4 linked regions of the Mytilus edulis genome follow. The main gene of each other region encodes a partner of the protein of the gene in region 4 in a complex. Links are inferred from orthologs where the notes say so. Each region holds a gene or a part of one and is shown on either strand. Other genes may lie near its edges. The genes, in order: serine-threonine kinase receptor-associated protein-like, U6 snRNA-associated Sm-like protein LSm5, U5 small nuclear ribonucleoprotein 200 kDa helicase-like and small nuclear ribonucleoprotein F.

Region 1 (6,849 bases), on a different chromosome or scaffold from region 4:
ACTTATATGTTTTAAATTGGTTCAAACTGACTAAATAGCTGAAAACTTACGCAGAAAAGTCAGCAGCTCCTGTTGCTGCCTTTGTGGCCTCTTTGTTTAAAGTGGCTCCCCAAACAGCACCTTTGTGGCCCTCGAAAGTACCAATCCAGTCACCAGTGTCCCCTTGGCGTAACATTGGTTTCCCATCTACAAAATGTAGAACAGAAAATAAACTACATGTATTACTAAATAATTACATCATTATGAAGTTGCAAAGAAGGCCTAGAAGATAAGGGATTTCTTTATTTCAGTTATTGCCAACAAATTCAAATGAAACTTTTCCATAGATTCATATCCTATTGTTCGATCTTTTTAAACTTTTGTCAGTTCTATTGTCCCAATGAATAAATTCAATAGCTATTGTTCTCTGTGTAGACATAAAAGGTATGTTAGCAGGGATCTCCATGGATGAAAATTGAACGATGGAGGAACTTTCACCATGTCAAAATCCCGTGTCTATGGCGTGGTGTTATAGAAAACATTTCATTCCTTTATTTTCATGTAAGGAATAGTAACAGGCTGATATACTGCTTATTTTATTTTTTCAATATAGATGTCCACTGTTAAAGTCAGAAATGGTATCGACGATTTGCATCATAAACTACCAGAAATTTCGCTCTTGTTTTGTAAAACGCTGAAGAAAAGATTTGGAGGGCAAATGATTTTTAATGACTTTGCAACACTTATCTTCCGATTCTGAATTGAAACAGGAAGACCAGATGTATCAATATGATAACTTTTCATGATTGTAAAAGTTCTACGGAATGAATTGGGAATTACGATACAAAATTTCTTAAGATATTATCAAGTTGCAATTAATATTCATGTATTTACCATGTTTACTTTCAAACTTGTAAAGATATTAAATATTATTGTCCTTCCCTACCAAAGGTCCTGAAACTGAATGTATTTTGTCCTAAACGTGTAATTGGGATTTAGGTCAAATTTTATTTTCAACAGAAATAATTTCGGTCATTTCATTGAGATCGAGTTTCAAAATCACCATATTGAACATATTTTTGTTTTGTCATCGATTTTATGTAATTACATTATATTCTGCCACTCCAGTAAAGTGTTATAATCCTGGGGGCCCTTCTAATAACTTCAATGTATATTAATGCCTAAGAGAGCTATTGGCTAATGATTGCTAATCTCTTTACCTGTGTTTTTAATTCACACCTGGCTATTAATCACAAGCCCCCAACTAATATTATAAAGAAATTAAAGTTCCATACCAACTGTCTTCATTATTTAATTACTTTTCAGCTAAGACAATTGTCAATTATGATTTAAAATTAAATTAAAACTTGATTAATTTACGTAGAAAAAAGTGTTTTTTCACTACTAAAACACATGCTTTGTTTACTTTGTAATATGCATGCTTGAAATTCTCTTCAACAGATTAGACACTGAATCGTAAATTTAGAATGATTTCATGCTAAATAAAGCAAGTGCAACTATTTTCAAATTTTTCATTAATATTCTTACTGTTAAAGGTAAAATATTAAAAATCTGATGATTTCCTGTAAATTTGATAAACAAAACTAATCCCAGAAATTAGTCCGGAATTGTTCATTTTAGTATTGTCGAATTACATCAGGTTTGATCGACTTTCACCTTCAAAATAGAAAGAAATGTAAGCGATTACTGAGAAAATTATCGTGTTGAGTCATTAAAATCATTTTATTTTTAAACTGTTGCCTTCCCTTAATTGCTCTTGATCGATTTTAGAAAAATGGTAGAATAAATCATGAAGTAAATGCGATGCGACAGTGAAACAAGTTTGTTGATGCTATGAGTATGAGCATACTCATACAGTAATGAGATTTTGACAATCTTTTTTTTTGAAAAGGGGCACCAACTTTTAAGTTATATGAAAATGACCGAAATTAGGTGAAAAAATTTCCAGATCCATGTTCCCAACGCCTATATCACCGTGCTCTGTCGCTTCGTAATTCTTGTATCAAGGCTTCAAAACGAGACTAGGCATTATCAGCGACATCACAATGTGAGAGAAGTTATCAGCGACCTCACAATGCAAGAGGAGATGTTATCAAGCTTGCTTTTGTCAAGCATAATAATGTCTTAGGAACACGAAGAAGTGGGAAAAGACCAGTATTAATAGAACGATAAACAGATAATCAGGTTTTCTTCGTTTAGATGTTGCAAAATATCAGCCACTTAACACAATGTGTTGCGCTTGCGCAGTGCTCACTCACCAAAAAGGTTCCTATTGTTGCTCGCGGATGATATTTATGATGTCAAAATTATACAGGAACCTGTGTGCTGACCAGTAAAGGCGGACACAAATCAATAAGGGATGGGACCTGGGGGAAAACACGTGTAGAGTCAGTGAACAGACCCAATACCAATACAAATCATCATCCTTCTAATATTTTAGGCACCCCTACTAGCCCTTTAGAGTCAGAATTGAACCCAGGAAATTCAGAATTTTAGCAATAGGTCTTTACCACTAGACCACAAAACCCCAGGGAACTTTTTAGTGACTTTCTTGACATCCTGTTATGTACGACTACGCCATGTACGGGCACTTGTTTCTATCCATTGGAAGAACCACTAAATGTACGTTTATAGTGGGTCTTTCCATGGATAGAAACAAGTGCATGTGGTACGTAAATGTACGTTGATAGTGGGTATTCCCATGGATAGAAACAAGTGCCTGTTGGTACGAACGTATTATACGTATAACATATTTCACAATGTTTTACAATAAATCTTAATGATATATACCTTTACATGCACTGATAAGAAAGTAACCAAATGGAGTGATGTCGCTAAAATCCAAGAAGACGACTGGTCTTGTATGGCCACTACAAGTAAGAGGTGTCTGTCTCATTTGATTTGTCATTTTTCCAGTTTCTTTCCTCGAAATGCACTTCCGGTTGTTATTTATCATAAAAACTAAATCAAGCCGGGTTGGATTCCGATTTACGACACTTAACCTCGGACCATAATAACCATCGATCAGTATTAGGTGTTACATACGAGTCTCTTGTAACACTGCATTTCGCTGGGGTTTTATAAAGCGACGTACCATTTGATATTCCTGGGGAGGGGGTTGGGGGTGGGCAGGAGGATTTGTTTTGGATCGGTTCTTTAGTTTGTAAACTAAGACTGGACAGATTATCTATTTTCTGCACTATTGTGCAAGATTTTTCATTTACATTAACATGATTAAAGCAAGGAACTGATTATTTATTTTCACAACTATATTTATGATATTTGAAAACATACAATTTTTAAACATTTGTTTTATTCAAGTCAAGTCATTATACATGTACCATTTATCAGAATTAATCCGGCATCCTCCTCTGCAGAAACGAACCGTTGGGTTCTTTATTTCCAACTGCATACATACACAGTATTTAAAGTATGGTTGAAACTAAGGTCTTTTAAAAGTATTGGCAAACCTGTCTCGCCGAGCGGAGTGAGGCAAAAAAAAATTTGAAGCGGGGTTTTGGAACTACTGAAGGCCCAAGAATCATGCTTTCTCAGACTGGGTGTTCCCCAGATCCTTTCTTAATCTGAAAATTCAAGTTCTGTTTTAGTAATTTTTTGACAATATGTTGGTCTCAAAGAAGTTTCTAGGGACAACATCAAAATACCAATATGCATGATAAAGCAAAAATGTAATTCACATAGTTAAGTCTGTGGCAGCTGTTTTTTTTTAAACTCATGAAAATCACTAAATTACAAAATAAATGCAAAACTAACAGAATACAGAAGGGCAATTAATGAACAAAAGACAAATAATGATAAGAAACATTGATCCCGAAAAATCAAGGGCTACGTCTGAAGGAGAACAGAACTTGACGCGTTCTTGCAAGGCACTCACGGTGAACACAATTTGATATGGAGACAAGCGTTTGGTTTTGAAATTTCCTACATGAGGCATTTGCCTCAATGTAGTTACGGCCCTGTAATAAAAGTATCAACGTATCAACCCTCAACTAATATAATACCAAAGTACAAGAGCTCAAATCCCTCGAGCAGAGCTCTTGTGGATTTTTTTTGTCTCACATGGATATATGTACCAGAGACATATAAGGAGGGGGTCGGAGGGGTCCTGATCCCGAAATCCCGGGCTTAAAAACATGAAATCCCGAAATTCGAAAAAAGAATTCCCGGATCCCGAAAGGATCAATTCCGAAATTCTGAGCTTAAAAACACACGATCCCGGAGTCCCGATAAAGGTCATCCCCTCACATAATACAAGTTGTTGTTTTTTAAACTCTCTTCAACCTAATGTTTTGGTATGGCTTGTATCCTGGTAAGTGGTCGGACGGTTTTGTAAATTAATAGGCTTAGCGGTTAAAAAATTGTGACTTAACAGACCTGAATAATTATCTCCGGACCGATGATCATCTTATAGTACGTGTTTTATCAAAATTGTCTACATCGATATTAACTGAACGATTACTTAGTTATCCGGAGAATTCGAAGGTACAACTTTAAAGAATATTATAAGCCCGAATGTTCGTTTAGAGGGGCTGAGGGCATTTTCAGAGGTGGTTTGACAATTTCTTGGTAGTGAAACAAGGTGACCGTTATCACATTGATCTGTTGTTTAATTTTTTCGTGAATGACGTTATTCAAAGTATTCCAATGGACAATAATACTGTTTTAATGTAAATGGGGGAAAATAACTAATATTTCTAACAAGACAAAAAATAGTCGTTTTCAGAAATGGTTGGCAACCTGTAATTAACCATTTTTTCTCTGACAACCATGAACAAGACTGAATTGTAAATTCATATGCATATTTAGGCGTATTGCTATATTTCAATTGAAAGTTTTTGCACTCACAGAATAGGATTTATCAGCAAGGAACAAAGGCACTTTCTGCCTTATTCAACACTCTCTATGCGGGTTTATATTGACCGAAGTCAAGCATTTTTGTTTGTTTAACATTATGGTGGCCTCTATACTTAAATATGCGTCTCAAATTTGGGGATTTCATCGAGTCAAAGACCTAGAAGTCGTTCATAATCGTTTCTGTCGTTTTATGTTAAAGCTTGCTAAAAATTTACTTATCACCTTATTTTGTGGTGAACTTGGTAATCTACTTGAAAATATGTTCATTTTTAAGGAAACATAGAATTATAAAATTTTTGTTGCATATATTATATATGATAAACCTAATATTGTATATGATATTTATAGCCTCCCTGTGTATGAATTGACCTAGAGAAAATTAACGCAACATTTAGATATATAAAATGTCGCATTTCGAACGATTGTGAAAACTGTGTTAAATATAGAAAATTGAAAAATAATTTTTGTTAAGGAGATAACTAAAATTTTGAATAGCAATTTACTCACTAAACTACGTATTGGAACATTAAAACTGATTATATAAGATCATACGGCTCGTTTTGACAATATTGTAATAGAACTTTGTATATTTATACGAAATACGAAATATTTTATTAAAGAAAGCTCAATTATGAACATAACCATTAATAGCATAGATACAAAAAAGAAGAAAGAAGAAAGAATTTGTCCTTTGTGCCTCATAGAAGTAGAAGATGAATTTCATTTCACTTTAAAATGTACAAAACTAAATATAATTAGAGACCAACTGTTTTCCAAAATTAGTGAAATAGTTCCCTCTTTTTCAAATAGATAAATAATTTTATTAACCAATCATGGTGCCCAAAATTTGAGCTATACAATCAAATGAATTACAAAATAAAGCACAGAAAATGATTAGAATGATTAAAGTACATTTGAATGAATACACATTTACACTAATTAACCTGATATAAACCAAGTTATTGACAAAAAATAGTTGTTATGGGTGCCACTGTGACCTGGAGAAGTATGACTAATGAAGAAAGATTTAAATTTTTGTATACGTGTGCTGAGACTGATATAATTAGAATTATTGTTAAATTTATAAGCGACATGTACATTTCTAGAAATGCTTTATTAAGCACTAAATAACTTTGTGGTACCACCTCCTCATATAATGTTTGTGAATTTGGTATGATATATAGATGTTTGTATGTTTGTGTATAACAAATTTGTATTGTCTTGGTATCAATCCTGTAATTTTGGATTTTAAAACCAATAAAAATTACTTACTTACTTACTTACAAAGAATAACATCTAAAACTAATACTACACAAGTATCAAGGTATATGTGTTCCAAGGGGAGTAACTCTAGTGTAATATAAGCAGCAAACAAAAATTTTACACTTATATTCTAAGTAAAAAACACATGTTTATGTACTCAGCTATACTTTTACATACATCAGTGTCTTCATTACTTAACAACCACATAAACTGAGAATCAATATTTGTGGAATTAGTAATGTTTTTTTTATAAAACAGTTGTAGATTAACTCCTTCCTTAAATGAGAAAATTTTTCACAACTTTATATGATCTTATATGCTGTCATAATAATTGTATTGAAACTGAGTACCATTTTGTTTTAGTATGCCATGCATTTAGAGCATTGAGGGTAACTATAGTTTTTACCATAAATATACTGGTTCATGGTAAACTATTTATTTACTAAATCGGCTTTACAACACATAGGTACAATGAGTAAATATACTAAATATGAATCACAAGAATTAAAAGCTACGTTGTATTTCTTTTACATGTTAGGCTAGCTCAAAGAATTAAAATATGTGTAATTTCTTAATGCAGCATGTAAGTTAAGATTACAAATTATTATTGCAAGGCATCATAGCAGTTGTAGTTCTGTGCTTGTTATGACCTTATTGTGATGTTCTCTGCATGTCTACTGTCATTATTGTGTCTGTCATTATTATTTGTTC
Region 2 (7,478 bases), on a different chromosome or scaffold from region 4:
TAGGTCAGTAATGATAAGATGACATTCAGCTTTTTTTTTCAGACACTTTAAAAGACATACAATAGACCATGACCTAGGTAGTTGTTCTTTAAATAGGTCAAAAGGATACTGACATAATCATCAAAACCAAGTAAAGTTCCAACTATTTCTTTATCGTTCTTCATCACAATGTGGATTCGAGATCCTATACATTTATCTACCAGTTCTGAAATGAGAAATTAAATAGTTAAAAACTAGTGTCAGAGCTATTGATCGTAATATTTCCAATTTCTTCTTTAAAATTTTTATTACTTCAATGTAATATTGGATGCAAAAAATAAGTGAAATAGGTGAAATGGAGATTTTTATATAACATCTTTTCATAAGTTATGCTCATGTGATGACTATTATACATGTAGATAAAAAGACTTATTGATGTTATCATGTTCATGTATATATCATATCTATCTATATTTATTTATTTTAATAATTGATTGCACATTTGATTTTACACTGTTAAGTTTACAAGTACAGTTTTGCAAACACATACCTGTCAACCTGTGACGATGAAAATGCAGGTCATGACCTGCATTGAAGAATCAAATCTCAGGTCATAACGCGTACGAACTTTTTCGAGCTGAATTTTAGTATTTATGGTACATTTTCTTATGATTTAATGTATATCAAAGATACCAAAACATCAATGCATGTTAACTTGGTTAAGTCATTTTAAATCCTAACAATTATTTGCAATTTTAAAGACTTTTATAATTTGTGTAAAACAGTCTTATGTTCTTTACTTTTTGTGATCATCAAATACTAGAATTTAGTTTTCAAATGTAATCTTAAAATGTTTGAGGCTACTGGCAATGTAGCCTTAAAACATTCCATCATCAAATTCAGAAGGAAATTAGACTATGATAAAATATAGTAATACAGTTAAAGGAAGTATAAATGTAAAAAATAATTTTCAACTTTTAAAAAAAAATGTATAAAGGTATAAAAATAATGTAAAGTTATTTTTCAATATGTATTTGAATTTTTATGATTTAATCTTTTTCACCCATAAAACGTAAATATAAGGAATAATTTTGAATAGTGACAAATAAGGGGAAATAACTCTTAGTTGAAATATGTTTGTAAAACAACAGGGCAATTTATTTACGACCTAAATCTAAGGTAATTGGTGTTAATTAATAGTGTGTTTGACATCAAAGCTGTCAAGTGAAGCCATGCACTTAATTGGTCACTTAATTTGACAGTTTACATAACTAGATGAACTTCCTGTTCATTGAATTACGAATTTGCCGGTATTTCAAAGGAATATTACTTATGAAATCAATCTCAAGGCTAAGAAATACGGGTGAAATCGGTTCATTTTCGGAATTCCCGGGTTATTTCAATGACCCGGCGGGTGTCCCGGGTGTCCCGGGTGATCCCTCAGAATTGTGAAAATCTCGGGTCACACCCGCAGAATACGGGTCAGTTGACAGGTATGCAAACATACGAAGAGAACAGAAGAATTTAAATTGTTCATCATTTTTTAAATGTTTCCGGTCTCGTCTGAAATCAAGAGCAACTATAAACATCGTAGACACATCAGAATGATCCAAAGATCATGATTTCAATGCACACAGAAGGTTAGTATACACATTACGCGTTTGGTCCACATACTTATGTATATATGATCCAGAACATATATAATAACACCCGGTACGAAACGTCTTGGTAACAAATTAATGTAGTTACGAATTGTCTAGCAGAGCTTGTATCAATTGTAATGGTACTGGAATTTTTTATACTGGAAAGACTACACAAAACCACCGCCACACTTAAGATCTTCTCTAGCTGACAATCAAAGTGCAGTAGGACTCCTGACACTAAATTGGGCACCCAAATCCTATATTGATGTAATTCCAGACATCAGAGAACACATCGAGGACCTAAGAACTAAATGGATGGAAATTTGCATCCTATGGACACCAGGACACACAAATATTCAAAGGAACGACGAAGAGGACTTATTGGCAAAGCAAGCAGCAGAAGAAGCAACACAACTCCTGTCAAAAAAACAACATACTTACCCTTCAAGATGTAAAATAAGGTGCACACAAGAGTGTCATGCTGAAGTGGCAAAGACGATGGGAATTAAGCAACACAGGAAGAGAACTTTTTGAGATAACACCAAACGTTTAAAACATCCCAATCTTTAATTATCCAACCAAAAAATACTTCATCATCTTTATACAACTAAGAACTGGCCATACAACCTTTAACTACTATAAACAATGCACAGGGCAAAACACCACTGACTTATGCAGCTGTGGAACTAAGGAAACACAACAAGACTACCTCACAGAGTGCCCCAACTACGAGAGTTATAGAGAAGAAATGTACCATCAAATTACAAAGGATCCCTCTTACTGTTTTGTTAGATTTCCGTATACCGCTTACACTATGTACGTAAGCAATTTTCATTTTTTTTGTCATTTCCAGAGTCCCGCTAGACCTTACTTCCCGTTTTCACGACACAATAATTTGACTTTCACGTGTCCCGCTTACAAAAAATTGGCAATCCCGCGTCACGCTTAGACCCCAAATTATGAGACCCACTATCATTCGATGAGATCTACAGTTAAAAGTATCTATAAAAGTATGCAGCCTCCAACCAATTGAGTCAAAGAAAGTGTACCCTTAACAAAAGCAGGAACAGTATTTGTACAGACTTCGACCTCTTTCACATGAAAAATTATATACCGGTCTTTTTAAAAATTTATATGGTCATAGATATGGTTTGAAACTGTTGTACATTTATGGTTTGAAATGACAAGCTTCCAAAATTGCAGCCTTAATTGAAAGCCAGTAAAAAATACACTATCTATTATCGTACACTTAGCACAAATTACCAAGTGGAAGTAGCTGAGATGGATTTGAGAAAGTTGTCATCGTGGGTTTCTCACATGTGGATTTGTTGACAAAGTAGAAAAGGCCAAAGAGATAACGAAAGAAAAGGCCGATTCGACACTAAAAATAAATTTATTCTCGGGGTTTTTGATACTTAAGAAGAAGGAATGAGTCATGGCGGTAAAGTCGAACACGCCTACTATGACAAATTCCACCGGAAGCTACGGAAATATCCGATGTCTACCGAAATAATAATTTTGATGGCCGAAAAAGATGAAGATGCTACACAATGATGCTGATTATTGTAAAGAGCAATTAGAGCGTCTCATGGCCGAAAAGACATGAACAATCAAGAGCACAGAAAAGATGTGACTAATGAGAGAGAAGTGGAATGCTATTATCGCCCAGGTACAGAAAAACAAAGAAAACTTTACTGTTTTTATATGAAGTTTATCTCGTCATGGTCCATTGCGTGTTCCAAAATAAATGCCAAACAGCAAGATAACTGAATTTTTCTCATGTTTTAAGCTTTGAACACACTAGTTTTGAAAGTTATGTATCAAATTGTCTTAATGTTAAGTTTTATTATAAATTAATCAACAATACTTTTGATTTTGATATAAACTTTTTGTCCAGAACAAAATAATTTATGAATGTTTGGAAAACATGCATATATATGAAACTCTGGAAATTGGTATCTAAACATTTGAGTTTGATTATTAAACTGTATGGTGTGTAGTGTGGATTATGGCCTGGCAATATATCTGTTCTGTGAACACTCCCAAATCACACTTAAACTATAATCAAGAGATACAAATGTATAATGAAGATGTCCCACATTCAACTGGCTTTGAACTAATCACAAAGAAAAATGTTCCTGTAAATATTTGACGTCACAATAGAAAAATATATGACGCCACAATGGCAGGGGTTAAAAAATGTTGTTACAGATAACTAGCCCAGGACTTATTGGCAGCAGGATTTTACTAGCCCTGTTCGAAGAACTGCTAGCCCATCAAAACTGACCTGCTAGCCCATGTATGCCTTACAAATCAGAGTTTGCTGCATAATACATGGTGGGTGTCATGTTTTGAAGGGGACATTATACACCGTTTTAAACTAGTTTATTTTCTGGCAGAGAAAACATGTTTATTGGTTTTATCGTGTGAAACAAGTGGTTTAATTATTATATTAGTTGCCCACACATACAAGGGAGACCTTTTATTGGGATGGTCGGGAAAACACTGGCAATATTCGCAGAACATGGTCTCGGTAATTTCATCCTGGCGCCACAGCCGACCTTGCCCAGGGGAATCTTTCTGTCCATGTCACTAGATATGTTCTTTTCCGCTTTTCCCGATCGTATTTTACATTTTTTCTAGATGAATTTTTAGCCTCAATAGTACCCCCTTCATCTACCGATTAATTGAAAATCTCGACAGCAGCAATGCACAATACCCCTGTACTGAGAAATCGATATTGAAAGTGTGAGATATTGCAATCAATAGATGATACCTGGCCACCCTGAGTTATTTGTTCTATTTTTAAAACATGTAACTGTACAACAGACTTGCGTTCAATATCGTAGGGTTACGTAGTGCTACATAGATTTTTGTCTACTGAACGAGTAGCTAGCCTAGCTGCTATCAATATCTATGTAGCAGCTAGGCTAGCTACTCGTTCAATAGCAATAAATCTGCATAGCCCTAAGGGAGTTACCATTTGATTTTTATGGGGGGGGGGGGGGGGGGGGGGGGGGGGGCTAGGATGAAAAATTTTGTCCTGCATTTTTTTTTAGTTGTAATCTCTGTCCTGCCTTTTTTAAATGTGAGGTCAAATATTTTGAATTGTGATGTCAAAGTTTACGGTAACCTGTGTGATTTTACATAATGGCGGACAAATTTGCATACAAGTGTGAATATGTCTATATTGTCATAGCGGCACAGATTCTCAGGTCAAGCTGCACAAATTTCCAAATAGTGTTAAGGTCTACATTGTATTCTGTATGGTCATTCCCTGTATTTGAACAATGTCGTTGGGTAATGTGATGCCTACAATACTTTCAGATATTGTGTGTGATGTCAGATAGAATCACTTGAGTGTTTTCCGGGTAGAACTACATTTTGTACCTACATGTAAAGTACAGTAAAAATTCTAAGAGAAGGCAAAACACAGGATACATTCAGGGGCGTAGCTCGAAAGAAACGATGTGGATGCAACTACTGCTGAGTGGAGCGAGGCTAAAAATTTTTGGGACCCTATTATGCAGAATTTTTTTTTTTTCGGGGTTTCGGTCATAGGACGGTTATAAGAGGAGCTATATGTAGATAAAAATTTATGAATGTAAAACTATTAATAAATCTTCTGAATATAGTTACATAAACAACACATATTTGTGATACAAAATTTACTCAAAATTGTCCAAAATCTGCTATTCGGGTCTGGGCAGAAACAAACTTCTCTATTACTTTGTCAACATTCACACTGAAATCCCGATGAATATGCAGTAATGCTATGTAACTTTCGTTGTTCATTGTTGATCGTACATTTGTTTTCAATTACATACGTAGTACCGTGACTGATAGATCTCAGGGCCGTCATGGCATGGTAGCACCCGCGAGATGTTATAAACCAGCGTACGTGTTCGGCATCGAGCAACCTCCCAATTGAATTTGTCAAAATTACATGCTAGGTCAGTTTCGTATGTTTCAGACAGTATTGAGATTTGTTTGTTTGTGATATTTCCTACAACATGATGAAGCAGATACAGCACAAAGAAGCGATTTTCTGATAACTTGACGCGACTCCACTCTCCAGTTGCCTTATCATATGGTCTATGAACACAAAAAATAATGTTTTGGCCTGGTTGCAGGGTGATTGGCTCCGGTAGTCTGTCAACCACATCGCCTCGGCATATTTTCAACGATATCCAAGGGATCTGATAATTCTAATGCCGATTGGTACATCTCATTCCAAACTGATGAACTGTACACTGTAAAATGTGCTCCAAAACTACATATCTTAGACTGAGCATTACAAATTCAAAAGTAAAAATCTTTTAAAAGATACAAGTAACCTTCCGATTTTGTCATAATCTCCAAAAAAAAAAATATTTTGAAACCAAATGTCGTTATTTAATGAAGTTATTTATTTCATCAATTAAAAAAAGTGACAACATAGCTGTTTCCTTTAACATTCAATTGATAAATTTTTATTTTGCCATTTCTTTTTTTGCATGCCGAATCAATGTGCACACAACTTCGAAGCTACGAACTTTTTCTGAATGAACAGCTTCATCAACACTTGTAACAAGGTTGTCAAACTTATATCCGGGATAGACGGAAAAGACACCAACAGTCTCCGATTCCGATTGACCAACTCATCTCTCTCTCTTCTGCTTTTTTTTTTTTGACGTGGATGCACGTGCTGTCGTGCCTCCGGGTAGCTACGCCCCTGACATTTGTGTATCAATGATATCATGTGTGCATTCAGATGTTATATTTAAACCACCATCCTCAGCAAGCAACTAAAGATGGAGTTATATCAATAAGAGGGTAGTTATAGCTATTTTACTATGATTTCAATTCAATATTTGTTCATGCTTGCCTTGAAACCCAAAGGTATTTCTAAATGTATTCACTGTGTTTAATGCAAGATGCTGAGCCAAAAATATCTATACTTTTTTTTTCATTATGTTGTTTCATACTGTTTCTAACAGAAAATATAAATCTTACTTAGTGCTCAGAATATGACTGCCACTTTTTTTTTTATTGAATTATAGAAAATGATGCATATTCTGTCTTCAGGTTTCCATCCCAAATGATAGCATGTGTACATGTACATGTACATGATTTCAATAGTGACAAAGTTTGATGAATTGTTGTGTGTTTATCCAACCCCTAACATTAAAAGTGGAACTGGATCTGCTTACCCTTCTGGAGCACCTGATATCACCCCCAGTTTATGGTGGGGTTTAATTTGTGTATGGCATTCTTTAGTTTTCTATGTTATGTCTTGTGTACTATTATTTGCCTGTTTGTCTTTTTATTATAGCCATGGCGTTGTCAGTTTATTTGCAAACTCTGAGTTTGACTGTCCCTCTGGTATCTTTTGTCCCTCTTTTTCAATGTTGAAGTTGTGAGGTTAAATCCTACTCAAGTCATTTGAATGAAATCTTTTCCTATCTAAGGTTGTGGTTCTTTCCAGGTTACTGCAACTATTTTGACCAAATGTTACCTACAAATGCAGTGCCATTATACAGCCATGTGGACTGAATGCTACATGTACACAACATGTAGATGTGATGTTTAACACCAAAAATCTGAAAAATTTGAACATGTCAATCATACAAGGTTTTAATATATATAAAACAAGGAGATGTGGTATGATCGCCAAATGAAATAACTATCCACCAGAGTTCAGAGAGTTGATGTTAGCAATTATAGGCATCTGTAGACCTTCAACAATAAAAAAACCCACATACAGTAGGGTCAGACAGGGGTTTCATTATCTATCATGTTGACTGGTACTTTCCACGTTTCTAGGTGGTACTTTTCAATTTATTCCATGAATATCTTATATTAAAATTCCTACAT
Region 3 (7,571 bases), on a different chromosome or scaffold from region 4:
GGTATTGAAGGATTTTTTTTCAATTTTCAAATTTAAACAGTAAGTGATTCACTGCCCTGATTCAAACTATGGCTGCAAGTTTTGTGCTTAAGTTTCATATAAGTAAGATGACGAAAACTTTAGCATAAAAATTTAGTACAATGTAAAATGGGTAGGACTGAAAGGTGGATTGACAGAAAGAGGAACAAGAGTTACACTTATTGCACCCATTGAAACTCATTAAAACTCTCTTTAATATTCTACAAGTTAAATGTAGATCATTTTTATATAAAATATATAAGTACTAAATACATGTAGCTGCATTGTAGCAAGAATTTGTATAGTATGTAGTCTTATTTTACAAATCCTTGATCATAGATACAAACATACAGTCTTCTGGGTACCATGATTTCCTGAGGATTACAGAACAAATTAATATCCCGAGGACAAATTGATTTGTCCCAAAAACATGATTTTATATTGTGTTATATTGCTTAAACTTGTATAATTACAAGGTCTGAAACTTTTTAGTCGTAAATACTCAATATAAATACAAGTTATCTTCAAGAGATCGATTCAGGGGTTCAAATTAACATTTGGTACTGGAAGGTCCACAACCTAAATTCCAGGTCCTACTTTTACTTGATATATTTCCTAACTCAGTAAGATACAAAATTGATGACATGCTTTTGATGTAAGGTTAATTTTAGCTTGTTTCATTGACATTGTCAAAATCACTGTTGCATGACATGTTTATTAATAAATGTAATTATCTCAGCTTGTATTTTATAAATTCAAATAATCTTTCTTTTTAGGTATTTGGGAGGGTGTCACTGTGGGTGGGTGTTGTCTCAACCATGGGTAATTAAATACTAGTTAAACTTTTATATCAAACAGTCATTTCAAATTCAAAGTTGTTTAAGTGTATTATATCAAGTTACGCTATTATACATCTGTAAACAGTAAGAAACTTCTAGATTTTTACTGGCCCTTCAAATTTACAAGAAATTTATTACCTCTTGGAATTGTAGTAATATTTTACACTATAAAAAATCTGCATGGAATATGAACATTTACATGTACTAATGATAAAGAAAATTACTGTCACATGTTTTTTGGATTTTGACATGAGCATTCGTGAACTAAAAGTAGTTTTGAGTTTCTGCATAAAATATTTTCTGCTTTTTCTTTCATTTAGCATGTTCAGAACTAAATCTTTTAGTTTTCAATTCTAATGTTTATATTTCATCATCATAGATGTATTTCATCCCCTGCCTGGAAGTATCATTTTGATCGGCAAACCTGGAATTACCCTTATCCATCCAGGAACTTGATAAAGTATTGTAATTTTTTGCATTTCCGGTTTTATGGCATCCATTGTTTTTCAATGTTGTTTTTGTCAGTCAGATATGATTTTGGTCGGTTTTACACATTACTGCTGGTTAAATTTCAGTATAACCCTAGTGGTTGAACAAAATGAACATTGCTGTCATAAATAATAAAGATGAAAATAAATTTTGAGATCGTTTGGAAATTTTGGTTAAAAAGGTTGGCAAAGATTATTTTTATTTTCCTTCAGGTCCAAGGTCCGTAGGTCGTAGGTAGTAACCAAAACGAAGGTCTGATTGCAAAAGTGGAATGTCACGGACCTCAGACCACCGCTAATTTGAACCCTTGCAATTGGTATGCAAATTTTTTAAGTTGTCTACCTTTTGGATAATTACGTCTGCCATATTGTTTTCAACAAGTAATTTGCATATAACTTACAAGACATGCTTATCAATTCACTGAAGTTAAATTGCACTTTATTGAGTAAACACGACTAATAACTTCTTCTTCTTCTTCCGTTAAGGAGTTGACCTCATATTTGAGTGATTTACTAACTCCGCTCGGTAAAACAGGAGGCTTCTCCATTGATTAAAAGTAAATATTAACAAATAATTAAAACTATATATACACTGTACAATTTGGCAGGCTGATGTCTAGTTAGGCTGCATCTGGGTCCAGGGCACACTGGCTAATCTGGCCCTGAACTCCTCGAGTGTTGGTGCAGCTGCTACTGTGTCTGGCAGAAGGTTTCAGTCTCTTATAGAGCGTGGGAAGAAGGAGTTGTTGTATACTTCCTTAGTAGCTCTTATCTGTCTAAGTCTGTGAACTTAAAATTAAAAACTTTAAAAAAAATTTTAAAAACTTAAAATTATATCATGTATATACTTTGATATTATTTTAAGAACTATAATACCATATTTTCGATGGTAAATCAATTTGTCCTTTGGATATTAATTAGTTCTTGTAATACCCAGGAAATTGTCTGGTCAATACACCTTATCGCTATTCCCAGCTGACCAGAGAATCTGTACCGCTTGAACTATTGACGTCATACAACAGTCACTTTCCATTGTTGTGTCAGATATTTTGTATTATGATGTCAAAATTTTAAGGGAACCTGAGTGATTTCCAGTAATTATGGCAGACAAAGAGCGATATCTAACGACAAACGATAGCCGGACCAGAGGTAAAAACAGCTTCTTCCAAGAAAGGGCCACAACAGACGCCTTCGGACAATCATTTTTTCCAAGGACCATTAGAGACTGGAACCAACTGCCAACATCCGCAACATCAGCTGACACAGTTGATGGATTCAGAGCTGCCCTGAAGGCATGCTCTGCTAAAATTTAGACAGTAACATCCTGTACATAGTTTTAATTGTATATATATAGAGAACGTTTTATCCTGTAAATAGCCAAGAGAAAACTTTCTGTGTTGTCCGACATTGCATTAGTTTTTGAGGGACCTCATACATTCAAGATTTGAATTCGGTTCCTTACCTGGAAGAAGAAGAAGAAGGAAAATACAAACTTATATTGACATTGTAACCCAAAGTTTATTCAGTTATTGAATTGTTTTTGGCATCAAAATACCATATATCTGTTTAATTGTACTAATCATTTTCAATAATTTTGAATCAATAGTTTGGACTATGTGACTTGCAATATAATGCCAATGACTGTCCCTGAAATAGCATACCTGCAAATTATTGTACTTTCTTTTTCTCGATTTGTCGGTGTTAGATTTGAGCTTTAAAATAAATGTAGACATCAGTTTTATAAAACGTTTGAATGATTTTAAGCACGATAGGGTCTCACTAATTAGTGACAACAAGCGTCAAAAAGCGACAACAAGCGTCAACAAGCGACAACAAGCGACAAGAAGCGACAACAAGAATTATTTTAGCGACAACAAGCGACAAGAAGACTATTTAGCGACAAGAAAACATTTTTTTTTATTAGATATAAAGAAATTTGTATTTAATAGTTTTTTTTAAATATACGAGCAGATATGTCTCAATTAAAATGTTTTATTATATTGTTAGATGAAGAAATTTAACATTTGTGAAGAAGAAAGAGATTGAGCTTCTTTTTTTTATTTTTAAATATGAAGAATAAAAAAATTATGTATAAGATAATGCACGGGGGGGGGGGGGGGGGGGGGTAACTTCCTATTATTGGGTATACGGGGATGTGCCAAAAATATGGGTCATAATTTTGCGAGATTTTATATAAAAATGACCCTCCTTTTTAATGACATCCTATATTAAAATGCATTTACGTTTGATAATTGTATATTGATTTGGGGTATGATCTACATATCATATATAAATATGCTATTGATATGTGCACCAAACGATTTCAATTCATATATAAAAACTTAAGGGTAGCTGGTATATTTATGAATTATGAGTGATGATGAGTTAGTGCTTATATAAGCATGGGTCATATTTTAAATATTGTATATAAGTATATGTCATTCTTTCTTAAATATTTATATAACTATAGGTACTGAATTTCAGTGAATGTTATATTAAAATGGGTACGTTTTTTGAGACAAAAATGGCACACCCCTACCAAAAAAATATCGAAGTTACCCCCCCCCCCCCCCCCCCCCACCATGAGATAATGTAAGTATCTTTTTTCATCAAAGTCAAAGTATGAATAAACGAATGGCGATATATATGGAGCGGGCATAATGGAATATAATATTTTGATTCTAACAGTATAATTCATTGTTTTAAAAAACAAATTATAAGATAAATAACATGTTCTTTACAATGGAACAATGGAAAAGCAAGGATTTGTATAGTACTATACAAATCCTTGGGAAAAGTAATCTCATAATACAATAATTAAACGTAATACTGGCTGTTATTCATAATAGATGATAAAATATTATGTAAATAATGTTTCATTTTTTTCTATCAATTTTAACTTTCTTGTCGCTAAAATTATTTTCTTTTGCATATTCTTTTAATATTTATTGCAATAATTTATTTTAATTAAAAAAAAATGTTTTCTTGTCGCTAAATAGTTTCTTGTCGCTTGTTGTCGCTAAAATAATTCTTGTTGTCGCTTCTTGTCGCTTGTTGACGCTTGTTGTCGCTAATTAGTGAGACCGGCACGATATTCTAATTTTAAATCAAACACGGAAAAAAAACATAGAAGAGCTTTTTATCGTTCATATTGACTTTCTTTGGAGAGGAAAAAAAATGAGAAATAATTTTATTGAAGGATTCACTGTTCTTTTCAGAATAAAACAGTTTGATGGAGGGATATAACAGTTGAGTTATACAGAACAAAAAAGAAAAAACTATCCGGAACTTTAAACCGGAAGTGTACTGCCATCTAGCGTCTTGAACAAAAGCGAAACGAAATACAAACGTAGCCGCATGGAATAGAAAACAAACGCTAAATTATTTAAATAAGGATCAACCGGAGGGAATATGGCTGATGCAGCGGCCAGATCGCTTCAATATGAGTACAAGGCTGTAAGTTAATTTGATAAATGGCCCAGACAAATTATGTCTTATGATAAACGTTACTGACTGATTGCATTTTTTTTTAGAAATGACAACCAACTTCGGGATGAACCATAAATTTTAATAACTTTCTTCAACCATCCTGGATTAATTATTTTTCTACCAAACTTGGACAGATGCTTGTTTATGATCACAAGATAGCATCCAGAGCACAGGTATTTGGGGCATGGACCCCCCTTTTTGGACCTCACTAAAAAAAAATTGTTTGGTGTTTTTTTTATGTATTTTCAATTTTCTACAATGTATGAACATATATCAAGTCTCAACAATCCATTGCTAGTCGATTGCAATAACTTTTTTACTATCCATACGATCCCCAAGTGAAAAAAGAAGAAGGTAATTACCTTCGATGACTGACCTACTTTCACTTTGGAGGATCAGGTCAGGAAATCGATAAAAATTTCATATAAAAACTCACTTACTTTTCATAAAAAGTACATCCTTAGATTCCTGAGATATTTTTCTCGACGTTTAAATAGGTCACATGGTGATCTGCGGAGGTTTTGTGTCTTGTTTTACTGATTTTGTTCTACATTTGTCGTCCGTTTGAACCTCGATGCACGGAAGTGAAAATACAGCGCCATCTGCGTGGTCTTTCGCTATGTTTCTATAACTCCTTTTGACTAAACTGCTTTCCTGTTAACTGTTTTTTTGAATTTTTAAAAGACCGGCAAAAATACTTTTTTCGAATATCTCTTACCTTTTCTTATAGCTACATTGCATTCGGAACCCATCTGTAAAACTGGTAACCAAAAACAGGAAAGCAGTTTAGTCAAACGGAGTTATAAAAACATAGCGAAAGACCACGCAGATGGCGCTGTATTTTCACTTCCGTGCATCGAGGTTCAAACGGACGACAAATGTAGAACAAAATCAGTAAAACAAGACACAAAACCTCCGCAGATCACCATGTGACCTATTTAAACGTCGAGAAAAATATCTCAGGAATCTATGGATGTACTTTTTATGAAAAGTAAGTGAGGTTTTATATGAAATTTTTATCGATTTCCTGACCTGATCCTCCAAAGTGAAAGTAGGTCAGTCATCGAAGGTAATTACCTTCTTCTTTTTTCACTTGGGGATCGTATGGATAGTAAAAAAGTTATTGCAATCGACTAGCAATGGATTGTTGAGACTTGATATATGTTCATACATTGTAGAAAATTGAAAATAAATAAAAAAAAACCAAACAATTTTTTTTTTAGTGAGGTCCAAAAAAGGGGGGTCCATGCCCCAAATACCTGTGATCCAGAGCAGAAGTAAATTTGTGAAATATAAATCTTGTTTTTCCGTATTTTACTTATATAAAATAGACGTATTTACACTTGTATGCAAATTTGTCCGCCATACACCTTATCGCTAATCCCGGCTGACCCGGAGGCTTGAACTTTTGACGCATACAACAATCACTTTTTCATTGTGGCCTCAGACATTTTGTATTATGACGTCAAAATTTTACGGGAACCTGTGTGATATCCAGCAATGGCGGACAAATAGCGATAAGGTGTATTACATAAATTAACACAGGTTCCCGTAAACTTTGACATCATAATTTAAAATATTTGACGTCATAATTTAGAATATTTGACGTCATAATTTAGAATATTTGACGTCACAATTTAAAAGTGATTGTTGCTTGACGTCAAAAGGTGATTCGGAGTCGATCTAAGGTCAATCGGAGGCAAGATACAGCTAAATACCAAAAGTGTAAATACGTTTATTGGGTGAGTTTTTCTTAGTTAAACTAGTGTTCTCCCCAGAAATTTTGGATAGCATCACATTTTGCGTTAAAAAAAATAACTGTATTTTTTTTAATGTCGTTTGTCGCGTCGTGTTGATGCTCTATTTCCTTTACTTTTTAGTTTATATTGTTCAATTCATAACTGAGAATACAATTAAACTATAACCACAAAAACAGTTGTTTCAGTTTATGTCTTCTTTGTTCATTTATAGTTACAGAATTATTTTTTTCCTCTTGTGCCAAATAAAAATAAATATGTGGTTTCAGTTACCCAACAATAAGTCAAATGAATGAATTGTTCATTATAGTGCAACCTGTATATATACAAAACTAAATTATCTAGTATACAAAATTAACTGCTTTTTATATTATATCAAGTAAAGATAAAGTAGCAAAAGAAGCAAAAAAATCAATTTAAAAACTTTTTTTATCATGTTTATGAAATTCATTGTTTCATGCCACTCAATGAATTAGTCCCAGTTGTTTCTTATCTTTACATCAAATTCATATGTATTTTTAACAAAGTTATCTAACAAATAGTCTGGTAATGCGTAGTTTTCTCTCTTGGTTTTTTTTTCTGTCTACTGTCCATCTGTTGTCATTATCGTGAAAATGCAGATTTTTGTCATATCTGGTCCGGTTCCGATCCGTAGTTTACACAAAAATGTGCAATGGCGGCCGTAGTAAAATTTACGAAAATGAGTCCGAGAATAAACATTGTTTGACAAGAGATTGTGAATGAATAAGACGCTTTTAATGCATAAAATGGATTAAACATAAACTGAAGCCAATTATGATAACTTTTTAAAGAAGTATAAAACTTATTTTAGCTCTAAACCAAAATTCTCGCTCTCGTATTACCGGAAGAGAAAGAAAGTAATTTTTGGGAGAGTTGCACAAATAAACGACCTTTTTTGAAAATAATAAAAATCGTTTCAATCTTTGAAATTTCGTAATACAAAACGTAGATTTCGAATT
Region 4 (7,411 bases):
ATACCTGATTAGAACCTCTCCAAGATTGCCTGTCTGAATACCATCAATGAATTCTTCTGTGTTAGCAAGCTAGAAACATAAAATACACAAAGCTTTAGTAAAACTTATCACTTCACATTTCCTTGAAGCTAGATCTACTTATTTTTATCTACATGTACATGTATGAGATATTATAATTCACATCTTGAAAATATCATTACATGTAACTTTTATCAACAAGTTTATCAATAATTCCAAAAAAATGAAACATGAATACTATATAATATATAATAATATCTGATTTAGCATGTTTAAAGGGCACAGCCATTTTTTTTATTTTGTTGGTACGATTTTCATAAAAAAATCAAAGTTAAAACTTTCCACTTTTTATTACATGTATTATTGCCTGACTATTCTTAATTCATTTCACCTAAAATATAAATGACTATACATGTATCTGTGTAGAAGCATTTACCTCAAATATTAAGAATGTGCATTATTTATCATGTTTCAACATAAACAGACAGAAATGATCACACAAAAACTTTAGTCCTGCTTGTCTGTGTTTTAAGAAAAAATCTGTTGTGATTTCAAAAGAAAATTCATAAATAAAAGACAATCAAAATGGATCTTGAAATTTATTTGCACAACAAAAACCAAAGTAAACTAAACCACTCTTTATAGAGAGTGAATTTCCCTTTATTGTCATAATCATGAAATATATTATACTTAACCATTTTGGAATACAGTCACAATGTTTAAAAATAAAATATTTCATGATTATGACAATTTTTTTTCAAGGAGACAAAACTTAAAAGTACTGCAAGGCAAGTCTTCTACATAATGTTTATTGGTGTCTATAAATCAACTGACCTGTAAGTTCATGTAACCATCTACAGATACCAAGTAGCCTTTATATTCCATTCCCCATTTTAGCTTGACCATCACTGGTTTTCCTGTTAGTCCATTTAAAAATGGTTTCGGGTTCATAGGTAAAGCCTAAAAGTAAACAAAATAAAAAGTTAACAAATACACAAAATAGTGTTTATTATATCATACTAAATAAGTCATATAAACAAGTTTGTAGACAGTACATGTTTATAACATTACATGTATGTTCCATAACTTTTTCATCTCTTAACAATAAAAAGTATAATGTAATAAAAAAAAACAGTCAGCTAATTATTATCTTGCATGTACATGTACACAATGTAGGTCCTACATCAACTGACATTTCAAAGCCTTCTTTTGTCTAGATTTATAAAATTGGGTTTAGAACTGAAACTTTTATCTTCCACTGGAAATTCAAAATAGCATAGTTGAACTTTCTGTTTTAGGCTGTTAAGTACATTTATTGACAATTTCTGCAGGCAATTTGTGGTTAAACAAAATGCTCATTTTATAGACAGCTTTTGAATTCATTACATTTCCAGCAATAACTTCCGTTTTAGTAAACATTGTTCGAATGTTTATGGGCATCTTCACTTCCGTTACTATGTTGTGCAAGTGATATGATGCTACAATGTATATTGCACAAATTATTTGGCAAATCAAATTCTTATAATTGCTCAGTGAACAGAATTGCCCAAAATTGTCAAACAGGCTTATTTATAATACACAGTGTTCTAGCCAGGATTTGAAAAGGGTATGGTGCTACATGTAGTTCAAAAAGGGGCAATTTTACGTGTAACTGCCATTGAAAAAAGGGCAATTTTACATGTTAATTAATGTCACTGAAAAAAAGGCAATTATTTAAGCCTCATAATTAATTAGCACATAACTTTTACTATGCATTCTTGTAAATTCAAGTTTCAGTTAAAATGGAGTAATATATTTCAAATTCAATACTTTTGGCAAATTTTTCATGGTTGACTTCATAAATCTATGGTCATGATGCTGAGACCCTTTCAGGAAGCTGTTTCTTTCATATAACATGTATGTAGTTGCTGTTATATTACCAGTCTCACCAATGTATTAACAGATTTTGTGATTTTTTTATACTAGATTGCACTTGATAGATCAGTTAATGGAAGTAAAGATATAATTTTCAAAATATTTAATTTTGAAGTGTATTCAAGTGAAAATAACTTAAAGAAATATTCTAATATGCATTTGCATTAAATTAATTTTTAATCCTTTTACAAAAAGAAACATAAATTTAAAGAATATAGTGTGAACAGGTGGAAAATAAGGGGAAGTAACTTATTTTGTTGATATACACAAATTATGTTGCATGACCTAAAGCTAAGATTATTTGTGTTAATTGACAATTATGTGTTTGACACCAAAGCTGTCAGAAGAAGCCATGCACTTAATGGGTTACTTAATTTGACAGTTTGCACAGGTAGCTGAACTTCTTGTTCATGGAAGATTTACAAATCAGCAGGTCGTCTGAGGGACAGCAGAAAAAAGGCACGGGCGTTGTGCCCTGTTCAAACTTTGTAGCTAGACCACTGATACACCATATCGCTATTTGTCCACCATTACTGGATATCACACAGGTTCCCATAAAATTTTGACGTCATAAACGAAATATCTGACGCCACAATGGATAAGTGATTGTGTACGATGTCAAAAGTTCAAGCCGTCGGGTCAGCCGGGATAATTTAGCGATAAGGTGTATAAACAGATAAACAGACATAGACTAATTCTTAGATTGACATATATTGGAAGATGGACCCATCACTGATAGTATCAGTATTTAGCTCTGCGTCATAAACTATTTTTTGTAGGTTTAAGTGATAAATTTAAATGAAATGCAAGATAATGGTGTAATGCATGTGTTATAGTAGTCTCAAAATGCATACACAAATAAAATGCGCTTTGTTATGACCTCCCCCTTTTTATATGACATCCTGGATTCCCTTTATTTAAAGCGGAATTTCATAGATTGGTCATTTTACAGAAAAGTAGGGTTAATCTAAGAACTGTGCATCGAAGATGATCAGTATATACGTACGGCCATCGTGTGTTTTCTTGTGTGATTCGATTAATAACAACAGCGTGGTCTATTCGTTTCGCCGCCGGTGGTTAATAAATAATAAGAAATTATTAACCCACAAAAAAACGAAACATTTTAATCAAAATTATTCTAAATTTTACACAATACATCAATTTTAGTGAAATTACATCAAAAGAAGCGATTTTAGTTAAATTAACTAGAATTTTATGAATTTAGTTACACATTAATATATGGTAAACTAAAATTCGTTTTGTTTGAAAACAATGAATAAATAAAATATTAAGTTATGTCCCTTGTTGTACAAAAATAATGAAATGGGAGTTGTGTGGTAATTGTTTGAAATAGGTTCAATGCATGAGCTTAAATGCACCTAACTCATTTTAAGAAATCGCAATCTGTATAGGTTAAAAAAAGTTCAAAGTCATTTCATATTGTAGAAGACTAAAAATAACTAGATTTCACTGTGCACTTTTTTTGGTCCTTGCTAAAGATAATGAAATTAACAAACTGTTGAGTTTCAGTTGATATGGTCCACTCAGTGACACAGTTTAAATCTACAATTATTGTCAGGTATCTATTGTCTCTCTGTTGTCCTTGTCAATGTACAGTCCTCTTCAAATCCAGGTTTTTGAAGAGCTAATACTGGTACTGAAAAAAATTTGATGTATGCCTTTTTGTGCTTCTTCGTTACATTTGTTGTTTTTAGTGATTAGGATGATAACACAATGTTGACTGCTGTACCCCTATTTTTTGACATTTTTACCTATTGTGTCTGTTTGTTTTGTTCATGCATCGGTGACAATATAATGGAATTTGATGCAACTGTCATACAAGTGAGAGGTTTAGCTAGCTATAAAACCAGGTTCAATCCACCATTTTCTACATTTGAAAATGCCTGTACCAAGTCAGGAATATGACAGTTCTTGTCCATTTGTTTATGATGCGTTTTGTTATTTGATTTTGCCATGTGCATGATGTGATTATGGACTTTCCGAATTGATTTTCCTCTGAGTTCAGTATTTTTTTTCCCATGAAATAAAATTTACTATTTAAAAAAATGTAGAATTATAGAAAATTGATGAAAATATGTATAAAACTTTTGCTTACTTTTTAAATTATAAAAAATATTGTATCTAATGGGATGCAGGTCGTTTTCTAACTGAGACGTTTGTAACCTTATAATTACAATATATTTATAATAGTGCGAGTCATAAGTAAATGGCCAGTGGAGCATATGAGTACTGACTTTAACAAGCTAAAGGACATGGCTCCAGTTGGTCGTCTACGAGTAGTTCTACGGTATGTTCAAAAACATTGAACAGTCGACAGTGGCCAAATGCAAGTTGGTGTGTGTTTATGCAATCCATCCCACCATTATTAACGACGTAGAGTGATGGCACAACAACCTTAACACCAAAGCTGTCATCGACAACCATTCATTCTATCTTTGACAAAAAAAAGGAGAAAATAATTATTTTTTTCAGCTTGTGTGCCATTTTTAATACTCTACTATTCACTTTATACCTCATTTTGTACCTACTGTTATTACTTTTTATTACCTGCCATTAGTTGTCCTTAAACCATTAAAGTTGTCACCGAGCATAATTACTAATTAGTTTTAATTGAAAATATTGTTATTATCAGGCCACACCAATTTGATTAATAGTTCTTTGGATTTTCCTGCTCCTGTTTTGGAGAAATTGACTTTTCAATGAAAAAAATAATTATCTCTTCTGCAAATTTTTGGGCCGCATGCCGCTCCAAAATTAGTTTATCATTGACATTTTTTTGTTTATCCTTGACATTTTTTTTTCTCATAGATGTTTTTCTTGTGCACATCCATCGATTCAAATGCACGTGTGATAAATAGATTTGTTAATAAAAGGTCAAAAATTAGGATGCCAACATGAAGTTGTGTCAGTTTATTGCAAAGGACAAGTACCATGAGTACAGAGATAATTTTAATGTGCGTATTGTTATGCGTTTACTTTACTACATTGGTTAGAGGTATAGGGGGAGGGTTGAGATCTCACAAACATGTTTAACCCCGCCGCATTTTTGCGCCTGTCCCAAGTCAGGAGCCTCTGGCCTTTGTTAGTCTTGTATTATTTTAATTTTAGTTTCTTGTGTACAATTTGGAAATTAGTATGGCGTTCATTATCACTGGACTAGTATATATTTGTTTAGGGGCCAGCTGAAGGACGCCTCCGGGTGCGGGAATTTCTCGCTACATTGAGGACCTGTTGGTGACCCTCTGCTGTTGTTTTTTATTTGGGCGGGTTGTTGTCTCTTTGACACATTCCCCATTTCCATTCTCAATTTTATAGAGTACCAGTAGTTATGGTATTAAACACACAGTTATTTGAAATGCATTTCGTTTTATTTATGAAGACCTGTTCTAGGAGATAAAATAAAAAATCTTTCGTTAGATGACCACGATCACATTTGTACTCGTTAGATCCATTGTCATCCCCAATCATTGTTTCAGCTGTTCAACAGACATAGTACGAGATCACTCTAACGTCCATCACACATACATCTAATTATATGCATAAGACATGGATCATGTTTTTCCTTTTTTTTCTTTGAAGTAACCCAGTTTGAACATGAAGATAAAGTTTTAAATTGCACAATTTAAAAAAACACATTTTACCGCTCACTCCACTTGTAGAGCACCTGCCTCATCAAAACTCAATTTCTTGAAATATATACAATCAAAAAAATTTCTCTTGCTTGCCCAATATTTTTTGGAGCTTTTGTCCTAAGAAGTACAAATCAAATTGGTGTGGCCTCAAATGAACATTTTGATCATTTTAAGAAAATAATTGTTTAAATTAAACTATTAAATTGATTTAAACTAACAATTTATAACCATATATAATTACACCAGGTACGAAACGCCTCAGTTACAAATCAACGTAGTTACGAATCAACCAGGTATAAAACGACCAGGTTACGAAAAAATTAGCATTCCTAAAAGTGGAAAGGGATTAATATTAGTTACAAAACTTGTTTTCCAATCCACTATAAATAGATATGTTTAAACGAATTAGCATTCCTGTAATTATGTTTTCATGATGTCACAATTCCTCACATTAATGGTGAAAATCAAAATCTCAAAGATATCTTTCTATTTTTCTGTTTCATATATATTTTGGTCAAAGGGTATGGCCAGTGTTTAAAATGCAGTTTAACAGCAAATTTGAAGGAAAAGGAGAGAATATAACCTTTGTTTGTTTGTATGTCCATACATCCCAAAATTGGTTTCTGTTATCTGAATTTAGTTTTCATCAACCAAATGTTATGAAACTTGTATACACTATACACAATGGTTATTACAACAAAACACAGAGCAATTTTAAATTTTGGTGGTGTTACCTTTACTGTTCAAGAGTTATGCCCCCTTACCATTGAAAATATTGCTGAATTTGTCTTTCTCTAACTTAAGTTTTCCTTTACCAAATGTTATGAAACTTATACACAATGTTTATTACCACAAAACTCAGATCAAGTACAGGTTTGGGTGACTTGAGATCACTTCTTTACTGTTCTTGAGTTATGTCCCTTTATCATGTTTATAATGTCACAAGTAAGTGAAGGCATAATCTGTGTCCCTTGGATACGTTCCCAATTTTTTTATTTTTTTAAAGCATTCTAAACTTTTGAAAATATCTAGTTTATGTGTTATTTTTTTTTAATTTTGCACATTTAAGATTGCAAGTATTGGTAATTAGGTTACAATATATGTATATATGCTATTGTTTGAAATTAAGGGCCAAATTTTGGCTGTCTCTGTCCTATATTTTTCAGTTTCCTTTGATATCCCTTTTTGATAATCATATTCAACTTTGTTCTAATTTTGTCTTTGTAGTATTTTTAGCTATGCTGTGCCTGAGGGTAAGAGTGGACAACAAGCAGTTGATATGTTACAGAAAAATGTAGAATTACTAGGAGCTACAAGATCTGGAAACTTTTGTGTTGATTGTGAAACTTACCAGTCAAATTCACAGAATAGTAAGTTATACATTGTACAAAAAAAGTAATTGTTCCTTGAATCATTATTTATGTAAGGGGATCTTATTATAACATGGTTGACATATCTATCAAAGAAGACCACAGAATTTGTTTTTTTTTTGTTGTTGCAACAACTCTCCCATCCTTTTCCTCATTTATTACTCATCTTCAAATATGACCAGATGGTTATTTTTTGTAAGCAACATTATGATGTGTACTACTTGTATTACTAGGCTAGCAGAATTTGTCTATGGTACCCTTTGGATTACCTGGAGTTACCTTTTTTAAATAGTTTCATGTTTCTCAATCTCAAAAAAGTTACAATGTAAGTGTCATTGTTCTCAACTAAAAAATATTTATTGATATTCACTTGTTTTCATTGATAGACCAAAATAAAAAATCTTATTACACTGTAGCAGTCAGCGGAATCTAGAGTGCTCATGCTTATAATCAACC

Evidence for each region.
Region 1: small nuclear ribonucleoprotein F (region 4) and serine-threonine kinase receptor-associated protein-like share a complex: the UniProt entries of both Homo sapiens proteins name them as parts of the SMN-Sm complex. The link is inferred for Mytilus edulis from reciprocal best matches to the Homo sapiens genes SNRPF and STRAP.
Region 2: small nuclear ribonucleoprotein F (region 4) and U6 snRNA-associated Sm-like protein LSm5 share a complex: the UniProt entries of both Homo sapiens proteins name them as parts of the U4/U6-U5 tri-snRNP complex. The link is inferred for Mytilus edulis from reciprocal best matches to the Homo sapiens genes SNRPF and LSM5.
Region 3: small nuclear ribonucleoprotein F (region 4) and U5 small nuclear ribonucleoprotein 200 kDa helicase-like share a complex: the UniProt entries of both Homo sapiens proteins name them as parts of the U4/U6-U5 tri-snRNP complex. The link is inferred for Mytilus edulis from reciprocal best matches to the Homo sapiens genes SNRPF and SNRNP200.

What each region holds. Positions count from the first base shown.
Region 1 is NC_092353.1:16,536,594-16,543,442, reverse strand, and holds the start of serine-threonine kinase receptor-associated protein-like, read right to left. Parts: upstream 3,013-6,849; 5' UTR 2,957-3,012; coding exon 2,791-2,956; intron 187-2,790; coding exon 51-186; intron 1-50. UniProt on the Homo sapiens protein: The SMN complex catalyzes the assembly of small nuclear ribonucleoproteins (snRNPs), the building blocks of the spliceosome, and thereby plays an important role in the splicing of cellular pre-mRNAs.
Region 2 is NC_092357.1:54,417,711-54,425,188, forward strand, and holds the start of U6 snRNA-associated Sm-like protein LSm5, read right to left. Parts: upstream 3,022-7,478; 5' UTR 2,926-3,021; coding exon 2,886-2,925; intron 206-2,885; coding exon 110-205; intron 1-109. Other genes in the region: kalirin-like, read left to right, coding at 3,225-3,291. UniProt on the Homo sapiens protein: Plays a role in pre-mRNA splicing as component of the U4/U6-U5 tri-snRNP complex that is involved in spliceosome assembly, and as component of the precatalytic spliceosome (spliceosome B complex).
Region 3 is NC_092347.1:15,196,527-15,204,097, reverse strand, and holds the start of U5 small nuclear ribonucleoprotein 200 kDa helicase-like, read left to right. Parts: upstream 1-4,563; 5' UTR 4,564-4,756; coding exon 4,757-4,801; intron 4,802-7,571. UniProt on the Homo sapiens protein: Catalyzes the ATP-dependent unwinding of U4/U6 RNA duplices, an essential step in the assembly of a catalytically active spliceosome. Plays a role in pre-mRNA splicing as a core component of precatalytic, catalytic and postcatalytic spliceosomal complexes.
Region 4 is NC_092344.1:16,047,574-16,054,984, reverse strand, and holds the start of small nuclear ribonucleoprotein F, read right to left. Parts: upstream 3,028-7,411; 5' UTR 2,945-3,027; coding exon 2,939-2,944; intron 979-2,938; coding exon 853-978; intron 70-852; coding exon 5-69; intron 1-4. Other genes in the region: mediator of RNA polymerase II transcription subunit 20-like, read left to right, coding at 4,206-4,240, 6,813-6,955. UniProt on the Homo sapiens protein: Plays a role in pre-mRNA splicing as a core component of the spliceosomal U1, U2, U4 and U5 small nuclear ribonucleoproteins (snRNPs), the building blocks of the spliceosome.